Linked DNA regions of Nothobranchius furzeri. Each later gene encodes a partner of the first gene's protein in a complex. Links are inferred from orthologs where the notes say so. Each region holds a gene or a part of one and is shown on either strand. Other genes may lie near its edges.

Region 1 (4,229 bases):
TGCATACAGCTCAGGTCATCGTGCTGTTGAGTCTCCACGGTAAAGCGAACCTGCTGCGTCGGAATGTTACCTTTAGAGGCATTTGTTCACTTTTTGAACTCAGATGTTTATTAATCTGGCTCCTCTCGGTAAACGATTGTGACGAGAAGATCACACCTCTGTTATGCTCCCTTCTACATGTCTGATCAGCGTCAGGATCTCCCTGGTTCATCTCATTATACAAACAACAGAATGTTATTTTTCCATGCTTTAAGCCCAACTACTGTCTGTAAACTGCAGCAGGTCTGTGTGTTGTTGCTAACCTACACTATGCATGTCTCATTGTAGAATAGGCATTCCAGCATGATACACAGAGGATGTTGCACTGTTAATACTAACACACATTTTTTTCATCATCAGGCTGTTTTATATTGATTATGAACTTTTGAAAGAATATTTTTACTCTCTACATATTTCTTGTTTGTGTATATAACAGTGAAGAGTATGGTCAAATAGAACCCTGCCCTTTCAAGCTGCTACTCTGCAGAAGGTTAAAGTGCCTTTTTGTTTGTACTCACTTGGATGTGGTCAAAAATGTATTTTTTTTATTTATTTCCCACACAGTTAACTAACTAATGCATTATCCATTTCTACTGATGTTAAAAAGTGCATTGCAGTCTTATCATTTCTGCTGTTTAAGTATTTGATAGTAAAATCCAGAAATTTTCCCCTCATGATGTGTTTGTTACGCCACTACCTAAAGCCCAAGTACTGAATAATGAAGCCAAACCTCAATGTTATTCTGATTTCATGACTCAACTTTTCCTTCATCAGTATTTGTTTTGTTCACTCATACTTGTAGATTTATTTTACCATTAAATGAAATACTTTGTCACCTATATCAGATGCATTTGTTCATTTTATGTTGTTTGTAAGTAGTATGTATATGGTGGATTGAAATAAAATGAATTATAGTATGTCAATAGATCAATTAATGTGCAAACAAATGCAAGAGCGGGATTGAAATTATGTGTATTGATTGCTTTGAATTTTTCACTGAGAAAATAATATAAATCACAACAAAAATATACCTTTTCCTCAAAGCGCTGATCAGCAAAGAGAAAAACAACACAAATATCAGCGATATTAGTAACAATTGTTCATCTTTTTATTATGTGTAATTCAGTAAAGATTTCGTGTTTTTTGTTTAATACTTATGTTGATATTTAATGTTTTGATGAACAATAGCTGTACAAACGGGGAAAAAAGACCATAGCGGAAGTGAACTGCTGTCGCGCATGCGTATTAGTACTGCACGACCGATTACGCTGACTTTCGGAGAACGTTACCTTGGATTGGCTACAAACGCGGAAATAAGGCTAACAATCATCTGCTTTTATTTGAGAGAAAAATAGTCTTATTTTTCGCATATTCACGCCACAAATACTCGTTATTTAGTGCAGATAGTGGAGTTAAACTGACATAAGATATAATTGAAGATATAAGCTGTCGCCTGTGTCCTTGTTCCGTTTGTCAGCTGGCCGGAGTTCAGTATGGATGTCGACGCGGACGGCTCAGTGGCGATGTCGGAGGAGTCGGGGAGGAGGCGAAAGGTGCACGGCATGCTGAAGCTTTACTACGGGCTGAATGAAGAAGGAAAGGCCCCAGAGCAACCGGAGTCTCTGAATCCCTGCGACATCAACGGGCCGCATTTTGACCCGGAGCTGTACCTTAACAAGGTGCTGTGAGATATCAGCTGTTGGCTTTAAGTGTTGTCATGTTTTAGACATAGTCTGTGTGGCTGTAGTTAAAGAATTCCATATGATCATTGGGGATTTTATTTTATTTTGTATCCTGAATGTGAGTTATAAATGATCTTTGACTGATCTGTGTCCTATTACAGCTCAGAAAGGAGTGCTCTCTTGCTGAGTTGATGGACCAAGAGACCTGCATGGTGAAGCAGATCCGCTCTTTGGACAGCGACATGCAGACCCTGGTCTATGAAAACTACAATAAATTCATATCTGCTACAGGTAAGTGGAGCATCACACACACACACACATCTGCTTCAGTCATAACCTGGATGTGTGCAATCATGTTTTTATTTTATTTTTGCTAGACACCATAAGAAAGATGAAGAATGATTTCAAAAAGATGGAAGACGAAATGGACTGCCTGTCTACAAACATGGCGGCAATCACTGACTTTAGTGCTCGGATCAGCGGGACGCTCCAAGATCAGCATGCACAGATCACCAAACTCTCAGGTTAGACTGCAAATTGTCTTTTGGATTGTTCTTCAGAGACTTTGTTCATGCTTGTTCCTCTCGTCATGTTCCATGTTAGGGGTCCACATGCTGCTAAGGAAGCTTCAGTTTCTGTTTGAGCTGCCTGCGAGGTTGAACAAGTGTCTGGAGCTGCAGGCGTATGCTCAGGCAGTGAGCTTCCACCGGCGTGCACGCTGCGTGCTGCAGCAGTACAGCCATCTGCCCTCCTTCAAGGGAATTCAGGATGACTGTCACGCCATCATGGAGAAGCTCGCTCAGGAGCTTCGACAGAAATTCAGGTGCCAATTTCCTAACCCATTTGCAAAAAACTGATTTAATTATAAAGAGCTGCCTATGAGATCTCTGGCTTTCTTTTCTCCTGTGCACAAAGGGATGGCGGTACGAGTGCCAAAGATTTGTCTGAGTGTGTGGAGCTGCTCCTTCAATTGGACGAGCCTGCAGAGGAGCTCTGTGATAAATTCCTGAGCCATGCCCGGTCTCGACTCGAGTTAGATCTCCAGAGCCTAGAAGCAGAGATAAAACCCTACCCAGCTTCAAAGAAAGAAGCATCTACACGCAGATCCTCAGGTAACATGTCCTCTGGATCTCCGACTGATAACTCCCCTAAGATGAGCTCTCTGTCGTCTCCCACCTTGAACACAGACATCTTGGAGTTCATAGACAGAGGATGCAATGAATTTGTGAGCAGCTTATGTTTAGTGATTACATCCTATCAAGAACTGTTCATCAACCATGCTCAGACAGGGGAACTAGCTTCAAAGAACATCCTTCAGATGGCAAATGGTAAGCTGCACACCTTTGTGGATGATTTGACCACCCGGTATTTCTCACTCGTTGAGAGGAGGATACAGGAAGAGAAAGGGGTTAGTGATAACTCCCTCCTGGTCCGTGCACTCGACCGCTTCCACCGCAGGCTACAGGCTGTGTCCAAACTGCTGCCAGGCTCGGCGGTGCCCAACAGGGGGACAGAAATTGTCATAAGAGCAGCTACAGAGCGTGTGAAGCAGTACCTGTGTGCCCTGCAGAACTTCTACATGGACAGCCTGACGGATGTGAGACAGGCCTTGGCGACGCCTCGGCTCTCTGTGGCTGGAGGTGCAGCACATCTAGGTGGACCTGTCACGGGTAGAGATGCACCAGCTAGCCTACCAGAGCTGCTCTCTTCTTTGTCAGCTTCTATTCTCAACCAGATTAAGTCGGTGCTGGCGTCGGTTCACCTCTTCACAGCTAAGGACATCACGTTCTCCAATAAGCCGTACTTCAAGGTGAGTGTTCCCCTTTAAACCAGCCGGTTCGATAATTCTGTGCCTTGATTCTGCACTTTTGTGGATGTGGCTGCTATTTTTCTTTCTTTCTCTCCTCCTCCTCCCAGGGGGAATTCTGCAGCCAAGGTGTGCGCGAGAGTCTGGTGGTGAGCTTCATCAAGTTTGTGTGCCAGTCCTCTCGCAACTTTTGTGAAAGCGCGGGAGACAAAGGAGGTTCCACTCCTCCAGCCCTTCTGTTGCTGCTGTCCCGGCTCTGTTTGGACTTTGAAACGTCCACCATCTCCTACATCCTCACACTCACAGACGAACAGTTCCTTGTGCAGGTTTTACACCACCATTAACCAAAGCACTGTGCTTTTTTACTGTCCTGAATGGTTCTGCTCACGTTTCGTTTTTATCCTCCAGCACCACAGTCCCATAACACCGGTCACAGCTTTGTGCGCAGAAGCCAGAGAGGCGGCACAGAAACTACTCAATCATTATGTCAAGGTGGGTTTGTTTCTTTTCCTTTTTATGATTAACAAGTAAAACAGTTTAGAGTCTAGAGCCTTATGAGTGCCTAGTAATAATATGTCTTGTTTGGTCCAGGTTCAGGGTCTGATCATCTCCCAGATGTTAAGGAAGAGTGTTGAAACGCGCGACTGGGTTAACACCATCGAGCCACGGAACGTCCGTGCTGTCATGAAGAGGGTAGTAGA
Region 2 (4,331 bases), on another chromosome or scaffold:
CCGCTGCGCCATCACATCAGACGTCCCGTCGGCGATGATAAGACCTTTCTCGTCTGCATACAACTCGAACAACGTCAGCTATCGCGTCCATCTTGATCCGAGAGTAGCAGGTTCTGTGTAGCATGCAAATGGCTGGATCCCCGTCTTCTCCATCGTGAACGCAACTTTCGCGTCCAACTCCGCCACTTAAAAAAAAAAGTCCTGTTTTCAAACACTCGTCTCCGTCATCCTCGTCACCATTGTTGTGTGTGTCGATCTTACTTTATTAATGAGATAGGACATTCTGAATTGGGGCTGCTCAGTGGCACAGTGGTTAGAGCTGTTTCCTTGCAGCGAGAAGGTCCTGGGTTCGCTTCCCAGCCTGGGATCTTTTTGCGTGGTTTGCATGTTCTCCCTGTGCATGTGTGAGTGTCTCTGTGTTGCCTGGCTCTCTGTAAAGGGTGTACCCCGTCTGATTGCCCATTGACTGCTGGAGACAGGCAACAAACCCCCACCCCCACCCCACCCCACCCCCCAGATGAGGCCCGCGGAGCATTCTTATGTGGCCCGCGAGATAAATATCAAAAATATATTAAAACTGGCCCGCTGGCCGATTTTACCGCAAAGACTACAACTTCCATGATGCTTTGCGGCGTCAGCGCGCAGCCGACGCGCCCCCTCCTTTGTGTTTTTTCCAGCGCCTGCTGCCGGTGTCAGCAGCTCTGCTGTCTCGGACAAACTAAACACTCCTCTCACTCAGCGCCGAGTTCACTCAGCTGTTTTCTGACGTTGAAGCCCAGAAACGGAGATTCTAGCCGCTCAGTAATGTGTTCACGACTGAAAGAGAAGTTTTCCAACTAACGTCCAGACAGAGCCGATATAACTCCAGCGAGCAGCGACACGCTCAAACCAGCACGACTCTGTGGTCGTGTTTCCTCCCCGACACACAACAACGTGCTCAAGCTGCTCAGACATGTTCATCAGCACAAACCTATGTGAGCACCTGTTGTCATCTAATGTTGTCATTATTATGATGAAGATGAGCAAAACAACAGGAGTCTCCTCCTCAGCTCAGACCAACCCCATGATGCAGGTATCTGGCTGGAACAGGTGAGCATCACAGTAAACCAGTGGAGCAAACTGAGCTTTAAATATGTTGGTTTTATGCTCTTTTTCTGCTCCAAAACATGAAAGTTAACAGGTGAGATGTTGCATTTTCATTTAAGATTAAATGATATTTGTATTTTGTTGTTGGCCCGTGAGCAGGGGCGGATTTAGGACTGAAGAAGATCCGGGGCTTAACGCACACATGCACGCGTGCACACACACACACATGACACGCACTAGTCAACATCATATATATTTGTCTTGTACCACATAATTTTTAATCTGAAGCTACATATTAAGCATTTTCAGGGCAGAGTATTGTTCCTGTTAGTGTTTAGTGTGAGATGATAGTAAATATTCCCGTTCTTTCTCCAACAACTTTACCTGATAGTAAGCTAACTTTAGGCAAACCAGCAGCACAACAAATATTTTCTAATAAGACTCACAAACCTGAGTCAACACCAGTCTCATCAAAGCTGGGGTTCTGTCGCCGTACTTTTGGTCTAAAAACGTCCTTATGTCCATCTTCACTCATGCGTTTCAGGCAGAGAGTGTAGAAGAAGCCGGCTGCTGAAGGGCTTCTTCTTCAGTGGTGGAGGCTCAGGCAGGCTGTATACAAACTACTGCCAGCTGCTCCCTCTCTGTTGGACTTTGGTACTGCATGTTACTTCCACGATTTAGATCCGGGGCTTATCATGAAACATCCAGGGCTTCAGCCCAAGTAGCCGGGCCTAACGCCGGCCCTGCCCGTGAGCAAAGATTTAACCTACAGTAAACAGGAAGTGGAAAGGCTGCAGATAGATGAATAGAATAGAAAATCTCTTTATTGTTCCTCAGTGGGAAAAGCTAGACGTCACAGCAGCGATGACACGTATTACAGGAGAAAAAAAGGAGAATAAAAAATAAGAAAAATGAATAAACAAGAAAACATAAATCCTGAAAAGATTTTAAAAATGCTGATTATACCACAAGTAATGAATACCACTGATGCCTTTTATTTAAAACCGACTTGCTCGTGTGTAATTTGGTTATTCCACATTCAGTGTTAATGCAGAAATATGTTTGTTTCCAAATTTAAAGGTTCAAAATTGCATATATGTTGATAAAGAAAATGTGCAAATTTGCCATCACTTTTTCAAAAATATTAAGTTTGGCCCTTGACTCCGTCCCAGAGTTTCATTTCGGCCCCGTGTGAGTTTGAGTTTGACACCCCTGCGTTACGTCATCACGTTCCCAATACATGACAGTTTCTACTAGCCTGGCAAGCCAGACTAAATAAATGTATTATTTATTTGCAAAGCAAGAATTTGGTCTAGTTCGCTAGGCTAAGTTTCTACAGCTAATTTTTTCCACTGATGAAGTATATATAATAGATGTACTTTTAATATTATATTAGCTAAATATTTACATACAAAATCCCCATGATTTAATAATTTCAAAGAACCTGATCTGAATGAGTATTGTATCTCTATTACCAACAGTAACTTAAAATGCCAAAATTGAAAACTAAAATAAAAGTGGTTTAAGAATATTTTAACAGATACTTTGTTGTGTTTTTGATTATATAGTGTTGTTATTTTAAGTTATGTTTAAATATGGAGTTTTTGTTTTATAATTGTTAATTTTTCAATAAAGTTTTGAAAAATAAAACTTACTTCCTGCACGGATGTGACGGAATGGTTGCCGCTAACGTGATTTGGAATCGTAGGATGTCCCAGGAAGTTCCTGCCTTTCTCGCCTCTGATTGGCTAGAACGTCTCTACTACGATTGGCTATTTCCATTTAGCAGCAAACCGTCTTCCACCGCTTAGTGCAGTCTGTGGTGTAAAGTGATAACGCGGTCCGGGTCTGCAGCCTTTCGGAGAGCCCTTGCAGCCAATCAAAGGCGAGAAAGACGGGATCTTCCTTGAACATGCTACGATTCCAATTGACGCTTCATTGCTACATGTAAACAAAGCACAGAGAGACGAGGCGATGACCAGAACCGGGCTGTAATCGGAACAAAGCCCTCGCAGCAGAGCCAGACTGAAGAATCTGGTTAGTGGACTGAACGCGAAGCGGAAAGATGTCCATGGAAGATCCATTCTTCGTCGTTAAAGGGTCAGAAGCATTGGTTATCTGCACTAAACTAAAGCTAGCATCCGCATAAAGCTCGAGCCACGACTATTTTCCGGTGCCGTGGGCAGCAGCTGTTAGCTCTAGAAGGCTGGTTCCGTTCTGGCTGGTCTGTCCAGCCCTCGATCAGAATTCCCCTGCGCGTATACAGTATGTAGTACGGTCAACGCGGGGTAGGCCTTTGTTGTTTTTCGCTTAAAAATCATGAGTGAATGGTATTCAAATGTCTTTTCACCCACAGACCTGCTGCCCACTGGGTGTTTTCCCTTTTTCAGACCATTCTCTGTAAACCCTGGAGATGGTTGTGTGTGACACTCTCAGATCAGCGGTTTCTGAAATACATGTAGTGAAAGAAAACAATCTTTTATAAAAGCACCTCTCAAAATAAAAATTACGAGGCACTTCACCAATAAAAAATGAATTAAGGCATAAAAAAGATTTCAGAGATGATTAAAAATATGTTCAAAATGAGAGAGAGAAAAATGGTGATGAAAAATAATGCTAGGAAATGGAGAGAGAAAATGAACAGGAAAGAGGGAAAACAGTGGATCCTTTGACCCAGCTCTCATCCTGGATTCTCATGTCAGTTCTCTTGTTGGCTCTTCCTTCTTCCATCTCAGGAACGTTGCTAAGCTGAGTCCCATTCTGTCCCGCTCTGAACTTGAGACAGTTCTCCACACCTTCATCTCCTCACGCTTAGACTACTGTAACTCTCTTTTCACGTGTCTGAGCAGAACCTCCCTGAACCGTCTACAGGTGGTTCAGAACGCCTGTGCTCGGCTTCTGACCAAGTCCTCCAAACACACCCACATCACCCCGCTTCTCCTCCAGCTTCACTGGCTGCCAGTCAACTTCAGGGTTCATTTCAAGATCCTGGTTCTGGTCTATAGGGCCTTACATGGACAAGCACCATCTTACATTGGTGATCTTCTTAGTCCCTACACCCCCAGCAGGTCCCTGAGGTCCAGTGATCAAAGCCTACTGGTTGTGCAGCACCAGGCTAAAGGTCAAAGGTGACAGATCATCTGCTGCTGTGGCCCCCAGACTCTGGACCTCTCTCCCCCTGAGCCTGAGATCAGTGGACTCAGTGGTCTCCTTTAAAAAGCAGCTGAAGACTCACTTGTTCAAGC
Region 3 (3,588 bases), on another chromosome or scaffold:
TGCTGAGTGGTCCAAAGTTATGTTTTCTGATGAAAGCAAGTTCTGCATTTCCTTTGGAAATCAAGGACCCAGAGTCTGGAGGAAGAGCGGAGAAGCACAGAATCCACGTTGCATGAGGTCCAGTGTAAAGTTTCCACCGTCAGTGATGGTGTGGGGTGCCATGTCATCTGCCGGTGTTGGCCCACTCTGTTTCCTGAGGTCCAGGGTCAATGCAGCCGTCTACCAGGAAGTTTTAGAGCACTTCATGCTTCCTGCTGCTGACCAACTTTATGGGGATGCAGACTTCACCTTTCAACAGGACTTGGCACCTGCACACAGTGCCAAAACCACCAGCACCTGGTTCAAGGACCATGGTATCCCTGTCCTTGATTGGCCAGCAAACTCGCCTGACCTTAACCCCATAGAAAATCTATGGGGTATTGTGAAGCGGAGGATGCAATACGCTAGACCCAACAATGCAGAGGAGCTGAAGACGACTATCAGAGCAACCTGGGCTCTCATAACACCTGAGCAGTGCCACAGACTGATCGAGTCCATGCCACGCCGCATTACTGCAGTTATTGAGGCAAAAGGAGCCCCGACTAAGTATTGAGTGCTATACATGCACATTCTTTTCATGTTCATTCTTTTCAGTTGGCCAACATTAGAGAAACAAACATTTTTTCATTGGCCTTTAGAATATTCTAATTTTCTGAGATACCAGATTTGATGTTTTCATTGGTTGTCACCTATAAATATCAAAATTAAACGTAATAAACATCGGAAATACATTGGTCTGTGTGCATTGCATGAATATAATGTACAAGTTTCACGTTTTGAATGGAATTACTGAAATATTTTCAACCTTTTGATGATATTCTAATTTACTGGCCAGCACCTGTAAATTCTGCACAAGTTTTGACTGCTGCAGATGCTTTTTCTTTTTTGTCCAGGAGAGGGCAGCAGATGACAGTAAAGAAGTGGAAAGCTTCCAGCAGCTGCTCCTGGCCAGAACTCAGGTAGCTAACACGTAACCTCCCTTATTTCAAAACGTTTTCATGTCATTTATTCTGTATTTTTATTAAGAATTAGATGGTTTCATTTTCATTCTTTCCTTTTTTCCCCATTTCTCTTTTAAATCCAAATACTAAAATGATGCCATTCTAACATTTTGACGTATAATGTGAAACAAAACAAAAACCTGACATCTAAAGCATTTTTCTCTGTTTTTCCTGAATTTTGTCCCTTCAGGAGTTTATTGAGGAGATTTTGTCTCCTCCCTTTGGGGGGATGATTGCCTTTGTGAAGGAAGCCGAGGCGCTGATGGAGAAAGGACAGCTGGACCGGCTGAAGAACGAGGAAGGTGAGAGAGAAACTAACAGATAATGCCTAGAGGGCTTCGGTGTTTTCAGTATCGTCTGTTCTCTGGTTCTGGTGAAAGGTGACCAACGTAGAAGCACACAATGTCATGTTGGGTTTTTTGGTTTGTTTAACTGATAAAAGCTCTGAAACTGTCAGAAGGAAACGGTTAAAGTCAACAAACTGTCCTGGTCAGAGTTTTTCTTCTTCTGAATGACAACAGTCACCAATTCTTCTGAACTGTGTGTACTGAAACTCTAATTTCCCTCTGGGATTAATAAAGTATCTTTGATTTGATTCTGTAAATGACTTTATTTTCTGGGTAAAAATCTCAGAAATGCTTTTAATGAAGGTACAAAGAGCCTCCTTGAGTTTTAGTTTATCCAGAAACACCAGGAAGCATCACATGAACGTCTATACAGGCTGCTTTCTTTTTACCGTTCAGTTTAGGCCCTGTCCACACGTAGCCGGGGAGCTGCCAAAACGTAGATATGTTTCTACGTTTTGGCCTGTCATCCACACGAAAACTGAGTTTTTTCACTCGAAAACGGATCTTTTTAAAAACTCCAAAGTGAAGATCTGCGTTTTCTCCGTTTTGGGTGTCTGCGTGTGGACAGACAAAACCGGAGTTTTAAGGTCCGCAACGTCACTTTCCACGACAAAACAATGCTGACATCACGTGTGCGACCTGTGTTTACACTAGCCGACATCATGGATGCCCTCAGAGCTGCGCTCGCTTTATCAATTGTCCAAGCGCTTTTTGCTTGTTTGTTTTTGCAAGCGGAATTACTGCTCCTTGTGGAAGACCACAGACGAAGGACGAGGTTAAGAACGGGGGAAGTACTGCCGCCTACAGGTCTGGCATGTCCTTAACAACGTATTTATCCGGGTACGTGTGGACAGAGTTTTTTTAAACAAGGTGGTGTGGATGCAAGTTTTTGGAGGGGCGGATATTCGTTTTTTTAAAAACCCGGCTACGTGTGGACTAGGCCTCAGATTTACAGAGAAAAAGCTACTTCCTGTCTAAGCGTTTTATTGTTCCTGATCGTTTCTCTTTCGAACGTCCGAAGCCACAAAACAATCACTTCATATGACCACATCCTACATTCTGTCTAAGGAAATGAGTGAAACTATACAGGAAACAGAAAAACACAGCCATGATGTTAACCATGCTGTGTGTGTGTGTGTGTGTGTGTGTGTGTGTGTGTGTGTGTGTGTGTGTGTGTGTGTGTGTGTGTGTGTGTGTGTGTGTGTGTGTGTGTGTGTGTGTGTGTGTGTGCGTGCGTGTGCGTGCGTGCGTGCGTGCGTGTGTGTGTGTGCAGCTCGCATCACCCAGCTCATCCGGGGCTTTTCAAGCACTTGGAAACAATCAGTGGAGTCGATGAGCCAAGAGGTCATGAGATCTTTCACCAACTTCAAAAATGGAACCAGCATCATACAGGTGAGTTAGTCAGCAGGTGTGTTACACACACACACACACACACGTGCGCTTTCTTTGGCGCAACTAAGCCCAGCCCAGAATAATGACAACGGGAGCGTCGGTGTAAATCATCTCAGAGAATGAATCATATCCTGAAAACCTGAAACATTTCCTACAAATAAACTTTAATGTTACCAAAATCACTTTGAGCAGAGGATGTAAAGAAAAACTAGAAACACATTTTCATTCCTTTGTGCTGCCTTGTAGATCCCTACTGCCTCTGTAAACACTACCACATGAAAAATGCAAAAGGAAAGGGAATTAAATGCTTAAAATGAGTTGTTTCCAAAAGTCCCGGTTTGTGACATCACTAAAGGAAAATTAGAATAGAAACCCCTCTCACCTGTGGAACTCAAAAGTATTCAAAATTCAATAAATAAATAAGACATTATGAAATAAATATCCACGTGAAGAAATACTAGACAATCATGTAATCTGACAATGAAATGATGAAATAACAGAATGTTATGTAAAATCTAAGCTCAATATTCTGAAATATTTTTCATTCTTCTTTTAAAATGTCTTTATTAATATAAAGTTTTTTTCAAGTCATTTTTTCATAATAATCCAAATTAATATTGAGCCATTTTTATTTAATTCATTCAGTTTTTATTACATAACGTCTTTTTAACAAAAACAGCTTTTATTTCACAGTAGTGTTTTTTCCCATGGCTGATTTATTTCATAATGAGACTTTACAGCAGAGTGTCTCAGTGTTTTTATTGAATTTTGAATACTTTTGAGTTCCATAAGAGAGAGCTGCTGCTGGA

Evidence for each region.
Region 2: the proteins of vps51 (region 1) and stx6 are in contact, whole or in part, in a crystal structure (PDB 4J2C), measured with the Homo sapiens proteins. The link is inferred for Nothobranchius furzeri from reciprocal best matches to the Homo sapiens genes VPS51 and STX6. Residues at the interface, in NP_037397.2 of Homo sapiens: Ala33, His34, Met36, Leu37, Leu39, Tyr40, Tyr41, Gly42, Leu43; in NP_005810.1 of Homo sapiens: Met3, Glu4, Asp5, Pro6, Phe7, Val9, Val10, Glu13, Trp59, Asp60, Asp63, Leu64, Glu66, Thr67, Ile70, Val71, Phe78, Arg88.
Region 3: vps51 (region 1) and vps52 share a complex: the UniProt entries of both Homo sapiens proteins name them as parts of the endosome-associated retrograde protein (EARP) complex. The link is inferred for Nothobranchius furzeri from reciprocal best matches to the Homo sapiens genes VPS51 and VPS52.

What each region holds. Positions count from the first base shown.
Region 1 is NC_091750.1:53,409,369-53,413,597, forward strand, and holds the start of vps51 (vacuolar protein sorting-associated protein 51 homolog), read left to right. Parts: upstream 1-1,357; 5' UTR 1,358-1,532; coding exon 1,533-1,718; intron 1,719-1,882; coding exon 1,883-2,012; intron 2,013-2,098; coding exon 2,099-2,245; intron 2,246-2,324; coding exon 2,325-2,544; intron 2,545-2,636; coding exon 2,637-3,531; intron 3,532-3,638; coding exon 3,639-3,854; intron 3,855-3,936; coding exon 3,937-4,020; intron 4,021-4,119; coding exon 4,120-4,229. UniProt on the Homo sapiens protein: Acts as a component of the GARP complex that is involved in retrograde transport from early and late endosomes to the trans-Golgi network (TGN).
Region 2 is NC_091748.1:80,951,192-80,955,522, reverse strand, and holds the start of stx6 (syntaxin-6), read left to right. Parts: upstream 1-1,480; 5' UTR 1,481-3,151; coding exon 3,152-3,186; intron 3,187-4,331. UniProt on the Homo sapiens protein: SNARE promoting movement of transport vesicles to target membranes. Targets endosomes to the trans-Golgi network, and may therefore function in retrograde trafficking.
Region 3 is NC_091759.1:11,210,116-11,213,703, forward strand, and holds part of vps52 (vacuolar protein sorting-associated protein 52 homolog), read left to right. Parts: intron 1-932; coding exon 933-998; intron 999-1,230; coding exon 1,231-1,342; intron 1,343-2,660; coding exon 2,661-2,779; intron 2,780-3,588. UniProt on the Homo sapiens protein: Acts as a component of the GARP complex that is involved in retrograde transport from early and late endosomes to the trans-Golgi network (TGN).